Linked DNA regions of Schizosaccharomyces pombe. Each later gene encodes a partner of the first gene's protein in a complex. Each region holds a gene or a part of one and is shown on either strand. Other genes may lie near its edges.

The links.
Region 2: sfc6 (region 1) and sfc3 share a complex: the UniProt entries of both Schizosaccharomyces pombe proteins name them as parts of the TFIIIC complex.

What each region holds. Positions count from the first base shown.
Region 1 is NC_003423.3:2,257,751-2,266,290, forward strand, and holds sfc6 (transcription factor TFIIIC subunit Sfc6), read left to right. Parts: upstream 1-4,434; 5' UTR 4,435-4,463; coding exon 4,464-5,406; exon of another isoform or gene 5,407-5,448; coding exon 5,449-5,565; intron 5,566-5,608; coding exon 5,609-5,812; intron 5,813-5,859; coding exon 5,860-6,344; 3' UTR 6,345-6,414; downstream 6,415-8,540. Other genes in the region: SPOM_SPBC21H7.03C (multiple inositol polyphosphate phosphatase), read right to left, coding at 1-285; ATP-dependent RNA helicase Dbp7, read left to right, coding at 1,064-3,193; hikeshi family nuclear import carrier Opi10, read right to left, coding at 6,552-7,123, 7,250-7,280. UniProt on the Schizosaccharomyces pombe protein: TFIIIC mediates tRNA and 5S RNA gene activation by binding to intragenic promoter elements.
Region 2 is NC_003423.3:2,745,678-2,754,217, forward strand, and holds the start of sfc3 (transcription factor TFIIIC subunit Sfc3), read left to right. Parts: upstream 1-5,205; 5' UTR 5,206-5,237; coding exon 5,238-8,540. Other genes in the region: DNA polymerase delta catalytic subunit Cdc6, read left to right, coding at 1-1,478; hen1 (S-adenosylmethionine-dependent methyltransferase), read right to left, coding at 1,514-2,650; ribonuclease H Rnh1, read right to left, coding at 3,114-3,840, 4,025-4,092. UniProt on the Schizosaccharomyces pombe protein: TFIIIC mediates tRNA and 5S RNA gene activation by binding to intragenic promoter elements.

The DNA.
Region 1 (8,540 bases):
CTTTTCCTGAAAATTATTTAAATATTGTGAACTATATACATCAGTGGCAGTTACATCGCCCGTTGGGTTTCTGGAACCGTGACGTTGAAGAAGATGAACTTGTTGGATCTCACAGGTTTCAGGGAAAGCAGAATCAAGACCATCAAAGTAGGGCTCATGATAAGGACTTAATGTTCCGAGATGTTCCTTGAAGAAAAAATTGCTTTCATAATCCTCAAACTGAACATTATCGGCATTGACGATGAACGCAGCTAAGAACCAGAGAGAAATGATACACAACTGCATCACGAAAATATATCAGCCAAACGAGTAAAAGGCCTTCTTAATTATTCGATTAGTAAAGCAGAGCTTTTGAGGAAGAAAAATTAAAGGATCAAAGTAAGAAATTGATTAAAACGAGTGACAGTCCATTCAACCAACAAACTGCTGGTCAATTGAGGTTAGGAGCGACTTTGAAGGATTAATTGAAAGGTAACCATTAAAAGATACAACGTAATGGTCCTATACGTGTAATTCGTGTATCTGCCAACAAAAGCTGGTAGCTTCCACTAAATTGAAATCTGCTGCCGATGCCGTTCCAGTGAAAACGTAAAACATCATGGCAGACGCGAACTGTTAATGTACGTTACAGTCAATACGGATACAAATAACGAGTTTCGACTAAACATTTTAACACGTATAAGAATTTCGATGTTAAAGTTATTTATAGATGTGCATGAGCGCGGTATTTCCTCCTGAAGCATATTATCTTATAAAGAAACATATATATTGCGCTTATTGTTATTCTTATACGCAAAGTATCTATTAATATTTTTAAATACAAATTAGGTCAATAAAGTCCGACTGAAGGAGTAATTTATGTTTTTAACAGTGCTTCTCTAGGTTTAATATTACTTAAATCACCTATAGCTGTAAAAAGGTAATAAATGACCTTTTGGAAGAATACTTGAATGCGTCTCAAGTATTTAACGCGGTCTAGTATAGCATAGCGTAATGGAGTACAATTAACTAAACTAAGCACGGTGGAAGCACAAGTTTTCAAATTTTCATCAACTGTAAGCAAATGGCGGACGAACCATTGCTTCTCAATTTTGTTGTTGATAATGCTCAATCAAGAAAGCCTGAAGCCTTGAAGTCTAGTCGTCGCTGGACTGATCGCGCTAGAGATAGAAAAAGGCAAAAACGCAATTCTAATGAATCATCAAAATCAACCGTTAAAAGAAATTCAGGCACAAATGGTGCTTCCACTGATTATAAAAATTCACAAAAGGAAAAAGTAATAAATCCTGTGTTTGATCCTAGAAAACCAGCTCATGAGCTAAAAGGCAACAAGCGCGATAATACTTTTGTTACATCTTTGTTTACGGGTGATGATTCTGAGCATTTTTCACAGGACGTTGGTCAAAATCTTGAGGATAATCAAATTAGTAATATTGGGACTACAAAGGAGGCATCCAACGCACCTATTAAAACTACCAACTTTGCTGGTGTTCAATTAGATACTCAACTGGCTGATCATTTAAATAATAAAATGAACATTAGCGCTCCCACTGCTATCCAAAGCTGTTGTCTTCCAGCATTGCTAAACACAGATGATAAGGATGCGTTCATTGAAGCACAAACCGGATCGGGTAAAACTTTGGCTTATTTACTACCAATTGTGCAACGATTGATTCGACTTCCTAAAAACTTACACACCCGTACTAGCGGTATATATGCTGTGATTATGGCTCCAACCCGGGAGTTATGCCAACAAATTTATAACGTTGCTAACAAGCTCAACAATAATCCGTTATCACACTGGATTGTCTCCTGTAATGTGATAGGTGGTGAGAAGAAAAAAAGTGAAAAGGCTCGCATACGAAAGGGTGTTAATATTTTAATTGGAACGCCTGGTCGTTTGGCGGATCATTTAGAAAATACGGAAGCACTGGATGTTAGTCAAGTACGATGGGTCGTTTTGGATGAAGGTGATAGGTTGATGGATATGGGGTTTGAAGAAACTTTGACTAAAATTTTATCTTATTTGGAATCACAAAGCAGTATTATTAAGAAGGATCTCAGTATTCCTTCTCGTAAGGTTACAATGCTTTGCTCCGCTACAATGAAAGATACCGTAAAGCGTTTAAGTGATTCCGCTTTAAAAGATGCTTTGTACTTAAAATCATCTATTGTGGAGGAAACCAATGACGGTTATAGCCAGGCACCCGAGCAGCTTCTTCAAAGATATGTTGTTGTTCCTCCAAAACTGAGGCTTGTAAGCTTGGTTGCCCTATTGCGAAGTCATGTTAGATCATATAAGAAAATAATAATTTTTCTTTCTTGTTCAGATAGTGTTGATTTTCACTTTGAAGCTTTTAGATGTGCGATAAACGCTGATGAAATGGAAGAGGCCGTGAAAGAGAAACCGGACTCTGAGGGTGATATCATTTCAAATGCTCCAGCTCTGAGAATAGATGGCAAATCAAATGTATACCGATTACACGGTTCCTTGTCTCAACAAATCAGGACTTCGACGCTGAATCTTTTTTCTTCAAGTGAAGATTCTGGTTCACATATACTTTTGTGTACAGATGTGGCAGCCCGTGGTCTTGATCTGCCAAATGTTGATTTGGTTGTGCAGTATGATGCTCCGTTTAGTACCGACGATTATTTGCATAGAATTGGCAGAACAGCTAGGGCTGGACACAATGGTGCAGCTATTATGTTTTTACTCCCGAAGGAAAGTGAATATATTAATTTGTTAAAGTCTTCAGTTAGCGCTAATATATTGGAGCAGCCTAATGGTCCATCTGGGTTGTTGAGTGCTGGTTTTTCGCAAGGTAAAACAAACACCAATGATTGGCAAGATCGTGCAACAGAATGGCAGTTGGAATTGGAGCGTTTTATATTAGAAAATGAACCTATGAGGAATATTGCAAAAAGGGCTTTTACTTCTTATGTGAGGGCTTATGCAACACATCTTTCATCAGAAAGAAGTATTTTTAACATGCGTGACCTTCATTTGGGACATATTGCTAAGTCCTTCGCTTTGCGAGAAGCGCCGGGCAAAATATCTGGTGCAAATTCTTCAAAGCCAAGAAAGCAGGGTGGTTCGGTTGATAAAGGTAAAAGTAAATCATCGAAAGACATTGCTGCTTTGATGCACAGAAAAGCAATGGAACATTATTCAACGGAACACAATATAGGATAAACATTATTTGTGTAAAATTTAAGGTTCAAACGGTTTTTGGTTGGCATTTGTATATATTTATATAATTTAATTTCGATCTTTTAAACGCAATAACAATCTTTCGAAGATAAAATCTCTTGCAAGTGATTATGGAGAAGTTAAGTTATCATTTCTAAACAAGTATTGAGAGGAATTATGAATGGCGTGCCATGGTAATGCTTGGCAATTGTATCTGCTATACAGGTTATGTATAACAGCTGAGATATATCAAACACCACATAATATTACTATTGCTGCTTATGTAGTAGTCTTGCACCATTGCGTTATGTGATAACTCAATTTCAAGGACTCACTATCCCTTATCCAAATAATATTTGTAATGTCAGTTGTGGAGCTACTATTTTAAATTATTAAAAGATTCAAGACAAAAAATAAAAAAGTTAGGAATAGCCTACAGCACCCCGGATTCCCATGTTGTCTCCAACCATAGTACTAACGAGGCCCTCAGACGCTTAACTGCAGTGATCGGACGGGAACTGGTGTTTTCGCCTAGGTATGGCCGTAGACGTTTGTACCTAACGATAATTCTTTTTAAAATTAAACAAACAATTAGAAAATAATGAAATCCAAGCATCAAAATTTAAAGATTTGATCAAGAAAAAACTGCTATAGGAGGTTCCTAATATTAAGTTTGAACTACTGATTAAATTATTTAATAGTAGCATCACATACTATTCCCTATAATCCTTTAATAGTGTCAGAATAATGCTCTCAGCAAACCCGTAGTAATTGAAAGAAATTTGTTGCATATTTACCAGTGAAATTGAGCTAACATTTCACATAACGTTTAGTAGATTCAATATAACTATATATATATTTTTTTCGATTACCGAAATACTTCCTTTGACAAAATCGTGTTAACAGAACTAAAAATGAGGAGAGATAGGCTGGTAAAAAGAGCAATCGAATTTCATTGAATGTGTTAAATACTTAAAATAAATTTAACTATTTGCAAAATTTATTCTTTATGAAGTTTCTGCATGGACTCGTATTAACCAACAAATGTTTGAAGTTAAGTCTAAGTTTCACACTCACAATTAAAGCAGGATTGAGCTGAACCAAGACGAACAGCAACAAATTAAGAATTGGGATTTTTTAACAAATTAATTTTTTCAAAGTGGAATAATTATTTGAAATAAATATTTTCTTTGAGCACTTGCAAACGAGGTTTTGATTAGGTCAATATTGCTTTGATGAAGTTCACCACCATTCCTAATGAATATTGACGCGTATGGGCCCTAAATCTAAGGAATACGAAAATCCAAGCTCTTATAAAAACGATGAAGATAATGATGATGACGGCGATTTTGTTTTAGAGAACGTTATGTCTGAAGAAGACATAGAAATAGAAACACCGTCAAGAAACCGAAAAAGGGTAAGTACTACTCGTCGAACCCCCTCAAAACCTATTAGAAGTCAACCTTTAACACCTTCATCTTCCAAAGGCGCTGGGAATGAACCGAAGAGTCAGAATTCTAGTACTACTCGTGGAAGTGCTAAAAAGCAAAGTTCAAAAGGTTTAGAAGAGAAGTTAATAAATTCTTACGGGACTCACGTTGAATCTTTAAATAAAGGAAGGAGGCTAATCGAAATTTGGAAATATTATGAGACTGCTCCTGGTCAATCTTCCTTTGAAGGTCAGACGTCGTCTGATTCCAAGTTGCAAACACTTCTGAATCTCGACGGACAGCAGTTATTATCATATTCCGAAAATCCTTTTTATTTGTTTGAAGTTAAAAATTTAAGCATAAGTTTCCATTTTGAATCACCACAGCAAGTTGAACCCTGTCAACCGGTAAACCCTTTTAAGGAAAATCCACAGAAATCGGGGTTTGTGGTGAATACAGGGATTCCTTTATCGTCTGTTTCATGGTTACCAACAAATAAAGAAACACAGTTTTTAGCTGTAGGAGGGATGCTAAAATTTTCAGAAACTACTGAATCAGTATTTATGCGAACTTCTGGACGGAATCAAATTCAACTTTGGAAACTAGAAAACAAAACCAATTTTAAGTCGGAATTTATATTGTACCATGATTGGGGAAGTGTTCTTCAACTAGAGTGGTGCCCCACAATTTCGGTTGAAGATTCCATTCTTGGGTTTTTAGCAGTTGTCTGCAGCGATGGAAAGCTGCGCGTTCTTCGTGTACCTCGATCACCAGTAAAATTTCATGGTATTAAACATCTTTTTTTTTCATTCTCCTAACATGAACTAGTATTCGTCGAACAAGCAGACTTTACTTTTGGATTTAATGATTCTCTTATTTCTTGTTGCACATGGGTTTCCCCAGAACATGGCGATATACATCAAATTTTGGTCGGCTGCTCTAACGGTAAGCCTGTTAAACTAAATTATTGTTACTAATTAAGTATAAGGTTATTTAGCTCTGTGGGATATTTTGAGCAGCCAGGAATGTCCCCTTTTTTACATCCCATATCATGATTCTTACATACATAATGTAGTACAGTGCCTGGATGACTTTCCGTGGCTTTTTCTGACCACTGCATTTGATTGTTATACTCGAATATTTGATATTCGCGATCCCATAATTGATAATAGACCGCTTTCTCATAAACGAGGTACGATTATTATTATTATAGCTTCTTCCGAACTAACTTAATATCAGATATTTGTTACACAATCACTTGGAACAACATGTTGCAGTCGATTATCTCCTGTAGCGAATCTCAATCTGTGGTCATCGAATCTTTACGAGGCACTTCGACACAGTTATTAGATGAAAGAAACGGCTCAATAATATCTCTCTCAAACAGCAAGTTCCATCCTTTTGTAGCGTGTGCTGCTTCGGATGGAATAGTTACGATCGTCAATCCATTCCGTCTTTTGGGATTCTCTCACAAACAAAAAGCTAATGTGCATAGAATATTCCAGTTAGAATATAGCGAAAAACAGGATTCATATCGTATGTTAGATGGTTTTCGTCCAAGGCTTCCCAAAGCCAAAAAGCTAGACATGTATATTTATCCATGGCAAATCCAAGTGAACAAAGTCGAGTGGAATGGAAACAAAGGTTATGCTGGTTGGTTAGCTAGTGGTATGGCTTGCGGAATCCTACGAGTTGAAGATCTCTCAGCCGTTGAAAGAAGATGATAAAATTATCCTTTATTAATACAATATATACGATTTTTTATAAATAAGATCTAGCATTTGTGTTTCATCACTTTTTTTTGGAGAAAAACACATACATTGTATTCTATTCTATTTTTTCTGCATCATTAAGATATGGTTTTATGTACCATGTCGGTAATTTTCGTAGGAAATAAAAATGAGGTTCAAAAACGGCATTCAACCTAAATGTCAAATCTGATCTTCAGAATCTAAAAAGTTTGGATTATTTGATAACTTGTTTAAAAATTTTGCATGCCAATCCTGAAAAACTCGAAGTGGTATGAATGTATCATTGGGCCGCAGGTCACCTAACCCAATGGAGTTGGGAGGAAGTTGAGATGTCGCAAAGCTTGCTAGGAAATTATATAAGTTGGTTAAAATTTTTTGGGCAACAGAAGTTACGGGAGGTAAGGGTTTGGCGATGACATTCGATGCTGAAGTGCTTACAGCTGGTGTTTCTGTGAAATTGGTCAAAGGCTCTACACTAATACCTAACATGGCAGTAATTCCAACGCAATTTTCATTTTCCGAAAGAGTTTGTATGGTGTTTTTTAAACGGAAAATTGCACTAGGCTTTTCGTTTGTCAAATAACCTAAAAATTGAAAAGGCTTTCCAGGCCATTGAAAGTAAACCTTAGCACCCATTCCGACTGGGAATGGAGAGTTTGGCAAAAGAAAAACCACAATGTGATTCAAGCTTTCCGCAGAGTCTAGTTGGAAGACAAATTGATTATCGGCGACTTGTTGCAAATTCGTTTGCACTAGATTGTGTATTAGTTATGTGTATATAATAAAAACATTTATTTAAGTTTTATTTTTGAACTTCTAGCGTGAAAAAACTTCGTTTAATGTAAAAATTGTGCGAAAGTGCCAGAGAAGCGACATACCTAATCGACCAGCACAGATGGCACCAAACATGATTTTCGTTAAGTAGAAGAACTACAAGTACGCAGGAAACAAAAAAATATAGAGTAGTCTTTTCTTTGAAAAAGTCGTCTGACAATAAATTGGCCTGTACGAAAGGTTAGGAGTAAAAAACAAATCCCGTTCTAAAATCCTGCTACTTAGAAGAAGTAAAAATCAAGTAACAAGGTTGCTACATTTGATGACGTAGTATGGACTGGTACACAGGGTGAGGATAGAATGAGAATTAGCATAACGTTCTAAAATTTATTATAATTTTTTTTTTTTTTTATTTTTGTTGTTATTTATTTATTTTTAATTGGATTTGTTGACTTACAAGCCTATTTATGCGTTGTAATATTATCATTATTATTATATGGTATTTTTTTTTATTTGAACGATTCATCCACGTTAATAAATAAGTTATAACTACTAAAAAAAAAAAAAATTATATATATATATATATATCTACATGGAATGCTTGTTTGTGTCATGGGTACTTTACTATTCAAAGTACCTGAGCTTAGTACTTACCTATTTAATTATGATTTTTTGCGTATGAAAAGCATCTAACGCTTCTTTCTGCAAACACGATTTTTTTGGACTGCTGAGTTAAAACCTCATAACCGCATTTTTTAACGCAAACAGTGAACGATTAGGGACGAATTATCAACTGTTTTTAAGCAGATGTCAGTTTCAATACAACTAGCTACAAATTCTAGCAACAGTACGGTTGGACAAATAAAATATATTCAATAAAACATATGTGATAGTACAATTACGCATTCTGTTTTGTTCCTCCACTCCAAAGCGAAAATTAATTCCTCAAACATTTTTTTTATTAACCGAATCCATTCTGCAGATATTTGTAGTCAAACAAGCAACTAAATGTTCTATCAAACCACCTACTAATTAATGAAGATACAAACGATTGATCAAATTAAAAAGCATGAATGTCTCAAATCTAAGAATATTGATATTATCAAAAAATCACGACTAGCCTAAAAAATATAATGTACACCACAAGCGAACCGAATTTACTATCAAAACCAGTAAACAAGGATTGTAAAAGGTGTTTGTTCTAGGTCTCAAGCCATTTAATTACAACCTCATTGCTTTAAGCCAGACTGCAATTGGTAAAAGAGACCATTGGCAAAGAAAAATTAATTCCTTCAAGTAAATATATACCGAGAAGCAGAGAGCAGTCACATACGTTGAACAGTTGAATTCGTTATATTACATAAAGAGTAGCACAGTATTCAATCGTTCCATGGT
Region 2 (8,540 bases), 490 kb from region 1:
TTATGCAAGCCCATAATTTATGCTATACGACATTACTTGACTCAAATACTGCAGAATTATTAAAACTTAAGCAAGATGTTGACTACTCAGTGACTCCGAACGGAGATTATTTCGTTAAACCACATGTTCGTAAAGGACTACTCCCTATTATCTTAGCTGATTTACTTAATGCACGTAAGAAAGCAAAAGCAGATCTAAAAAAGGAAACGGACCCATTCAAAAAGGCTGTTTTGGATGGTAGACAGCTAGCTTTAAAAGTAAGTGCTAATTCAGTATATGGATTTACTGGTGCTACCAACGGACGTTTGCCGTGTTTAGCAATTTCTTCTTCTGTTACCTCTTATGGTCGACAAATGATTGAAAAAACCAAGGATGTTGTAGAAAAGAGATACAGAATTGAGAATGGATACTCTCACGATGCAGTTGTAATCTATGGTGACACTGATTCTGTTATGGTTAAGTTTGGCGTTAAAACGTTACCTGAAGCCATGAAATTAGGAGAGGAAGCAGCTAATTATGTTTCAGACCAGTTTCCGAATCCTATTAAACTGGAGTTTGAGAAAGTGTACTTTCCATATCTTTTAATTTCCAAAAAACGTTATGCAGGATTATTTTGGACTCGTACAGATACTTATGATAAAATGGACTCTAAAGGAATAGAAACTGTCAGAAGAGATAACTGTCCTCTAGTATCTTATGTGATTGACACAGCTTTGAGAAAAATGTTAATTGATCAGGATGTAGAGGGTGCACAGTTGTTTACAAAAAAAGTTATTTCCGATTTGTTACAAAACAAAATTGATATGTCACAACTTGTAATCACAAAGGCATTATCAAAAACTGATTATGCTGCCAAAATGGCACACGTTGAATTGGCTGAGCGAATGCGTAAACGAGATGCTGGCTCCGCCCCAGCCATAGGAGATCGCGTTGCATACGTTATTATTAAAGGTGCACAAGGTGATCAATTTTATATGAGGTCGGAGGACCCTATATATGTATTGGAAAATAACATTCCTATTGATGCAAAATATTATTTGGAAAATCAACTCTCCAAACCTTTGCTTAGAATTTTTGAGCCTATTCTTGGTGAAAAAGCTAGCTCTTTACTTCATGGTGACCATACTCGGACGATTTCCATGGCAGCCCCCAGTGTTGGAGGAATAATGAAATTCGCAGTAAAGGTTGAGACCTGTCTTGGATGCAAAGCTCCCATAAAAAAAGGTAAAACTGCTTTATGTGAGAATTGTCTAAATAGATCGGCGGAACTGTATCAACGTCAGGTTGCTCAAGTGAATGATTTAGAAGTTCGTTTTGCTCGCTTATGGACTCAATGTCAGCGATGCCAAGGAAGTATGCATCAAGACGTCATTTGTACCAGTAGAGACTGCCCCATATTTTATATGCGAATTGCAGAACACAAGAAACTTCAGCAATCTGTTGACTTACTGAAAAGATTTGATGAAATGTCCTGGTGAAAAAGATGGATGTTTTTAATTACTAAATGTGTATATCAAACGTAATGATGAAAAGTTATAATAAAAATTCTACTTTTCTTAAGTACTTTTGCAATGCGAAAACTAAACGAGTTTGCCAAAGCTATACCTTTATGTTTGCTTTTTTTTAATTCAGGACAATATGATAAGTAAATTGAATCATCATAATGGAAGGCATGTCGAATGAGAGGCGAAGACTCCCAGATAAACAAGAAAGGTAATTTTACTGACAAAGCACACTTGCCAGCAATAACCTGGAATAAAAGTAAACAGTGACGTCCAAATAAATGATCAAAAAATGCTTTTTTCAGAAGATTCATAAATTGCTGCACTGTTGGAGGAAATAGTTGCTCCATAAATGGGTATGTAATCTTTTTGTAAAGAAGGATGCTTGAATTTTGGTCTTTTAAGAAGCAATGAGAAGCAGCATTGTTTTTAGATTGATGAAATACTGCGATTTGGGTGCAGAAACCGTAAGTAGATGATGGGCGAAAATGTAACAAATCGTCACCATCTATTAGATCATTTAGCAAACCACAGCCCGTAAATTCAACAGTATACTCTGGGTATCTTTTACAAATTTTATAAGCCCATTTAGCAAACTCTTTTCGATCCCATTCAAAAACGTGTTCAGGATGTCTAAAATTGGTAGAAGTACGAGATGATATACTACTTGTCAAGGTTGATAGTTTCTCAAAGATTGTGTTAAATTCAAAATTCGGAGTTGACACTACGCAAACATTGGGCTTCAAGTTTCCAAAAACAAGTTTTTCAAAGGCTAAAATCTCTGCAACTTGACAATGCTCAATAAACTCTGAAGCTACAACCGCATCAACATGTTTATAATGAGTAAAATCTTTAATATTACCAAGCAATAATTCAATATGTAGCGGTCGCCAACGTAGTTGTAAAAAGTCTTCGGTTCTAACCTGTAAAGCCTCAGTAGCTCTTTCAATACTTTGTTCGTTAATATCAATACCGGCCAGAAATTCTATAGGCACTTGATCATTGCAAGGTACTAAATATGATAGAAAACGAGCATCTCCACATCCAATGTCTAACAAAGATCGCACAGGGAAGCCTCCTTGAAGTATTTTAAATAATTTCCTTCGACGCTGTACATGCAAAGGTGGGTAAAAGCTAGAGACACCCATTGTCTAAACTCAAAGTATTTTTGGTACACTTTCTTCACGTTAGTCAAATAACTACCTATTAACTGTGAATGTTCGTTTCAAAACCACTATTTAAGCCTTTTCAAATTCATTACGAAGCGAATTGTTATTAATTCTTTGCTAAGTCCATTGCAATATGATTTCGATGACTGCCGTTAAGACACCGAACCAAATTTAATTGAAAAGGGAATTGTTGACTAGTGCGAAGTGTCATTTTCAACGTTAAATAATAAAATTATCTTAGCTCCGAATCTATACTTTTCAATTTCCTCTTTAAAATTGTTATAATAGCATGATATTTAATTACAATAAAATATGTAGCATTATGCAAAACGAGAACAAAAAAAGCACATACAACCAGCGAAGAGTAGACGAAAATTATACGGCAAATTTCAAAAGAATGTACCTATATCCATTTTTTACAGCGCTCATCATAGATGACCATTTACTCAGAAGCTCCTCGCCGAGCAAGCATATCGGCTTGTTGATTACCGTAATCGGTACTGTGTCCTTTCACGTACTCTAGCGAAACATTTCTGTCACTCATCAAATCTGAAGCGCGGTTGATCAAATCCAAATTTTTTACAGGTTGTGAATTGCTAGTCTTAAAGTCATTTTTCTTCCATTTAGGCAGCCATGTGGTTAGTGACTTAATGGAATAATTGCTGTCAGAGCGGATGGTCAAATCGCCAGATGTATTTTCAAGGGCTAGGATTATGGCTTGCAATTCCGCACGATTGTTGGTTTGCTCTTCCCCAGCCAACGGTACTGAAATATTTCTTGGGTCATCATTTCCGAAAAAAACTCCACAGCCAGCAACAGCTCCTTTTTTCCCATTTCGCAAACTAGAACCGTCAGCATAGACGACCTGTCGATCCGAGCACGCAATTGATTTTTCATGAGTGTCATTCGAAAATATTTCAATATCTTTTTCGGTACTATAACTTCTAGAAATTTTCTTTCTATATTTATCGGAGTGTCTAGCAGAGTAATTTGAGGAACTAGAAGAATATGGAGAGTACCCATAACTTGTTGTACTGCGGCGATATGGGCCAGAAGACGAGGAGTAGCGACTTCCTTCGGTCCTGCAAAATTCCTGAGCAGCCTCATAGCTGTCAAATTTCTTGTAGCGATTACCTCCATAACCTTTCACCTGATCCGACGCCTCATCCCTAAAAATTAGTAAGAGTTTGTTAAACAACAAGGTGTATCCATCAAGGAAATGTTAATAAGAGATCATCTTGAAAAAACCGATTCAGATTGAATTGAAGCAAAGCATACGACCGTATCGAAACTTGCTTAACGTGAAACTTATATTTAACAACGAAACCATTTTCTTGAGATACGCAGTCTTACCATGTACTATATATACCAGTATTTCGACCACGCGCTACTGCATAGTATGCACGCTTATTTCCACCCATTTCGTAATGCGAAGATTCAAAAATAGCTTTAAAATAGTAAAACTTAGTAAAACTTGGGAGTTTTTCCCAAAACTTTGCAAAAATACTTGTAGTTGACAAATTGAGCTGTAGTCTTATGAGTTATTGAAAATAGTGCAGAAAAAAGAAGGATTTGGATTTATAAATTTATATTAATTTGTAAAAGAGTTCAATTGACGATTAATAATGGTAGAGCATCAGGAAATGTCACATATCTGGACTACTGCAGTACGATACATAATAAAACGGGTTTGCTTATTTACTAGCTGCATAATCTCTGCACACTATATTACGGTAAGCTAGTTAGATCTCCGCGACTGTTATACCGCCTGACATTAAAATTAATACACAATTGATAGTATATTTTATTAGTTAAAAGCTCCTTAAATATAGAATACTCATTTTATGTCCTTAGCTCATTTAATGTAGTCTAATTTCAAACAAGCAGAAAAATGTATTGTTTGTTTAGTAATAATTGTTTAAGTCATTTTACCTTTTTAAGATTATACTTTCATAAAGAATCCTCATCTCTGTTGGCCTCTGAGTAGTTTGCAAATTGCGCAATTGTTATTCTAAAAAGAATCTTTTAGTCAGAGAAAAGATTATGCTTTTGCAGTGGGTATTGCCGCGCGTAGCAGAAAATTTGTAAACTATTCCACCATGTGCCCTTTTCAATTTAGTGCTAATTAAATGTTCAGTTTTGCGGACTTTAGCGTTCACTTCAATATTCCAGAATTCATATTTAAAAGAAAAGTTTTGAGAAAGTTTTCTTACTTTGTTTTATCAGCTGTATATATCATTTAGAGCTGTGCTTTATGTAACCATCATTTCGGTTACAAGGTTGGCATATGAGAATATACTCATAATAGCTACCATCTGCTTACTGAATAAGAGCATATTAAAATGTGAACCGATTTAGTCGTTTATTGTGTCGGTATACTATTTAGCAGTCGTATAACTCAATACATCGGTTAAAGTATATTAAATATGTCTTTAAGTTCTTCTGTATAAAATTTAACAAAATTTTAAAAACACTCATAAAGTATCACTATTTTCACTAACTTTCACCTCTCGAACCACGCTTTCCTTTTGTACATAGTGTTAGAACCAGCGTTCGAATCGCCCTTATGGATTCACTCATTCGGCATTGCTCAGAAGAAATTGCTTTGGATGGATCATCGGGATGTAGCATAGATCGTTTATGGGAATTTGCTGCAAATTTTTTTTTTCGGCAAGGTATCGTACAAAATTTAGACGATAACTATAAAACATTTGTGTGGCCTTTAATTTTAAAAGAAGATGGAATTGAGGTTTGGATTGAAGATGAAGATGCCACTGGATTACGAAGTAAAATGCAAGAAATCCCTTGGAATTACCAAGATATCACGATTGAGTTACGCGCTCGTATACGCTTATTCGCTTCAGAAGACAGGCAATGGCTTACTCTCACTTACAAGACGAAGACAGATTCAAAAATTCAACCTTTAGCCTTTGAATTATTGTCTTGCATATCTAGATATAGGCAGGAAGGTGTTGATAGAATCCAATTATGTAAGGAGACTAAGCAGGAGCCTCGAAGCGTTTACGGTCGTATTCAAGCGCTAGAAGATGCTTCTTTAATATCAAAGGTTGCCATTAATCGAAGCAGAGCACAAACTGCTCTGCTAGTTCTAAAGCGATTTGAGTCAGAGAACAGCACAATTAACGAAACTGTTGCTCAGGTATCTGGTAAGCAAATTTATAACACTGAAAAAATTCGTAGCAATATATGTGATGCTGTTCAGTCTTCACGTAACGGAATTTGCCGTCATGTTGATGCTCGTGCGATGGTGAATTTAAACCACAGTCGCTGGGAACGAAGATATTATGCTCGACAAGTTACATATTTACACAATAATGGATACCTTCGCAAATGCCTTACTTTTGTTCCTAACTCTCCAGAGCGTTGCATTCGCTGTTTACAATTTATAAAACCTTACATTTCATCTTTAGACGCAACTGAGGACGACGTTGATTTTACTGAAGTGGATGATATTCCAGAAGACGATGAATTAGAGGAAGAAGAACCACTCCTTCCGTCAAAAGAAGAATTTGATGCTTCCTTTTTGCAGCCACTAGCCGACGTTGGACCTACTCTTCCCCAATGGTCTCGTTTTCGTCCATTGGAATTCCAGTGTTTTGTCTTAATCAGAAATGCCGGATTTCATGGGGTAATCACTTTACAAATTTTGAGTGGCCTTACAGGAATACGTTTTAACAAACCTTTATTTAAGCTCCTTGGTTCTTTAGTGGAACATCGTTCCAGTGTGCCAAACCATCTCTCACACATGAGTATTACTCGATTTGAAGATAAAACTAAAAAGTCGAGACAATATAGATACTTTACGCTTCAGTCTCAGTTAAATCGCCTTATTCGAGATGGCATTCCTGCCGAAACAATTTCGAAGCTATTACCTCACGTTCACTCACTCGCTGGTGAATTTTCTCCAATTGACTCTTCCCTTTTCTTAAATTCTCTACATCATAAGGGAAATATGGAATCTAATGCGGAAGTATCTCCCGACGGAATGACTTTATTGCCAAGAAAAAGAGGTAGACCTAGAAAATCTGCAAATATTTCTGTAACCTCATCTCCCATTCGGCCCTCTAAAAATGAAAATAATCTACCTTCCCTTGCTATTTCACCAGTTTCCGAAGGGTTCATCCAAAATGCTACAATTTCTACCCCTAGCACTAGTAGCAACCTAAGCATAGCAGGATCTTTGACACCCTCGAAAACGTCACGAATTTATAGAGGCCTTGCTCCTCTAAAAAACCCAGAATTTAATGAAGACCATGTTAAAAAAGCAGAACATTTGGAGCCTCTTTTGAACGTGTCATCAAGTGTTCCTTCGAAGAATTTCACGGTTAGTTCGCCAGATCACCTAAAATATGGAAACACATCTTCTTTACAAGTCTCTGATTCTCAAAGCTCAATTGATTTAGACTCTTCATTTCATTATCCCGTTTCAGTAGACTCACAATTATCCCATTCGACAGGCAGTCTAATGGCTAACTTTTCATCCCCTACGAAAAAGCGCCGTTTGGAATCTGTAGACTTTATATTCCTACAACGTAAAGGTTTAATTCTTTCCTATCTCGTTGAACAGAATGGGGCTTTTGAAATATCTCGAAAGATGTTTGAAGACTTGGCAGACCTTAAAGTGCGACGAAACCCGGAAACTTCTAGGACCGTTATGGATAGGAGAACTTTTCAGCAAACCCTTGAAAAATTAATGCAAGAGAAAAAGGTTCGTAAATTAGTGATTGCAACAAACAATGGACTTGGGAAGCTCGTTAGAAAAGATATCGTGGTACAATACGATATGAAGCCTGATTCACCTAGGTTTCAACAGTTAAGAGCTCAAATTACAACTCCTGAAATCGAAAAACAATCAACTCCAGAAATATTAAAAGATGTAGATGTCGATTTTTTGAAAAGGAATACTTCTTTGTCAAGGCGTAAATCTATGCCAGCGGAAATAAAACGTCACAAGGAATCTTCTGAGACTAAACCTGTTGATAAAGAGGAGGTGAAGAAAAATGAAAAGGAGAAAGACGATCCAATGAGACTCGCGCAACAACTTTTAGAATCATTGGCTCCCGATTTCGCACTGCACGAAAATACCCAACAGAAAAGCCCAGTAGAAAAACCTAAAAAGTTGCGGAAAGATAGATACGCTTCAGTGGAGGAATTTGATTATTTTTCTTCAACTGAACATGCAAGCAAACGTTCAGTTAAACGCTTCAAAAATGATTTTACATCAGATGAGGATGAGACCTTGATTAGAGCGGTTGTTATTACTCAAATTTATTATGGTGGGACCAACAGATTAATCAAATGGGAGGCTGTACAGAAATGCTTTCCTAACCGGGACATATATGCTCTTACTAGAAGATATTTATCCATTAGACAACATACAAAATTTAAAGGCTTGCAACAGTTTTTATCAGAAAATTGGCAGCAAATGTACAAAGATGCTGTCTCAAGAAAAGATTTAATGCCATATCCTGATTCTGTTGATGATTTTGATCCTACCCCATATGTTAAGGCGTCTTGTAGACCTTATATGATTAGTTCTTCAAATCTTGCTACTACTAGGTTACCGAGAGACCTCGTTGACGTTTATGAAACTTACAATATAGAGGTTGTTAAACAAGAAACTAATTTCCGGGAAATGATATTTGATCCTTCCCTGTCAGTTGCCTCGAAAATGAATGCGTATTGTGATATGCCTTTTACCATGCCGCTTTCCTTAAATGACAAACAAAATAATGAAGGGGATGAGAATTGTGAGAAAGGTCAGTTGTTTGATGCGAAGTCTACTATCAAGAGCATCGTTGCCATCCCAGACGCTACATATGATGCTCGGTTTTCGCAAGAACGTCTT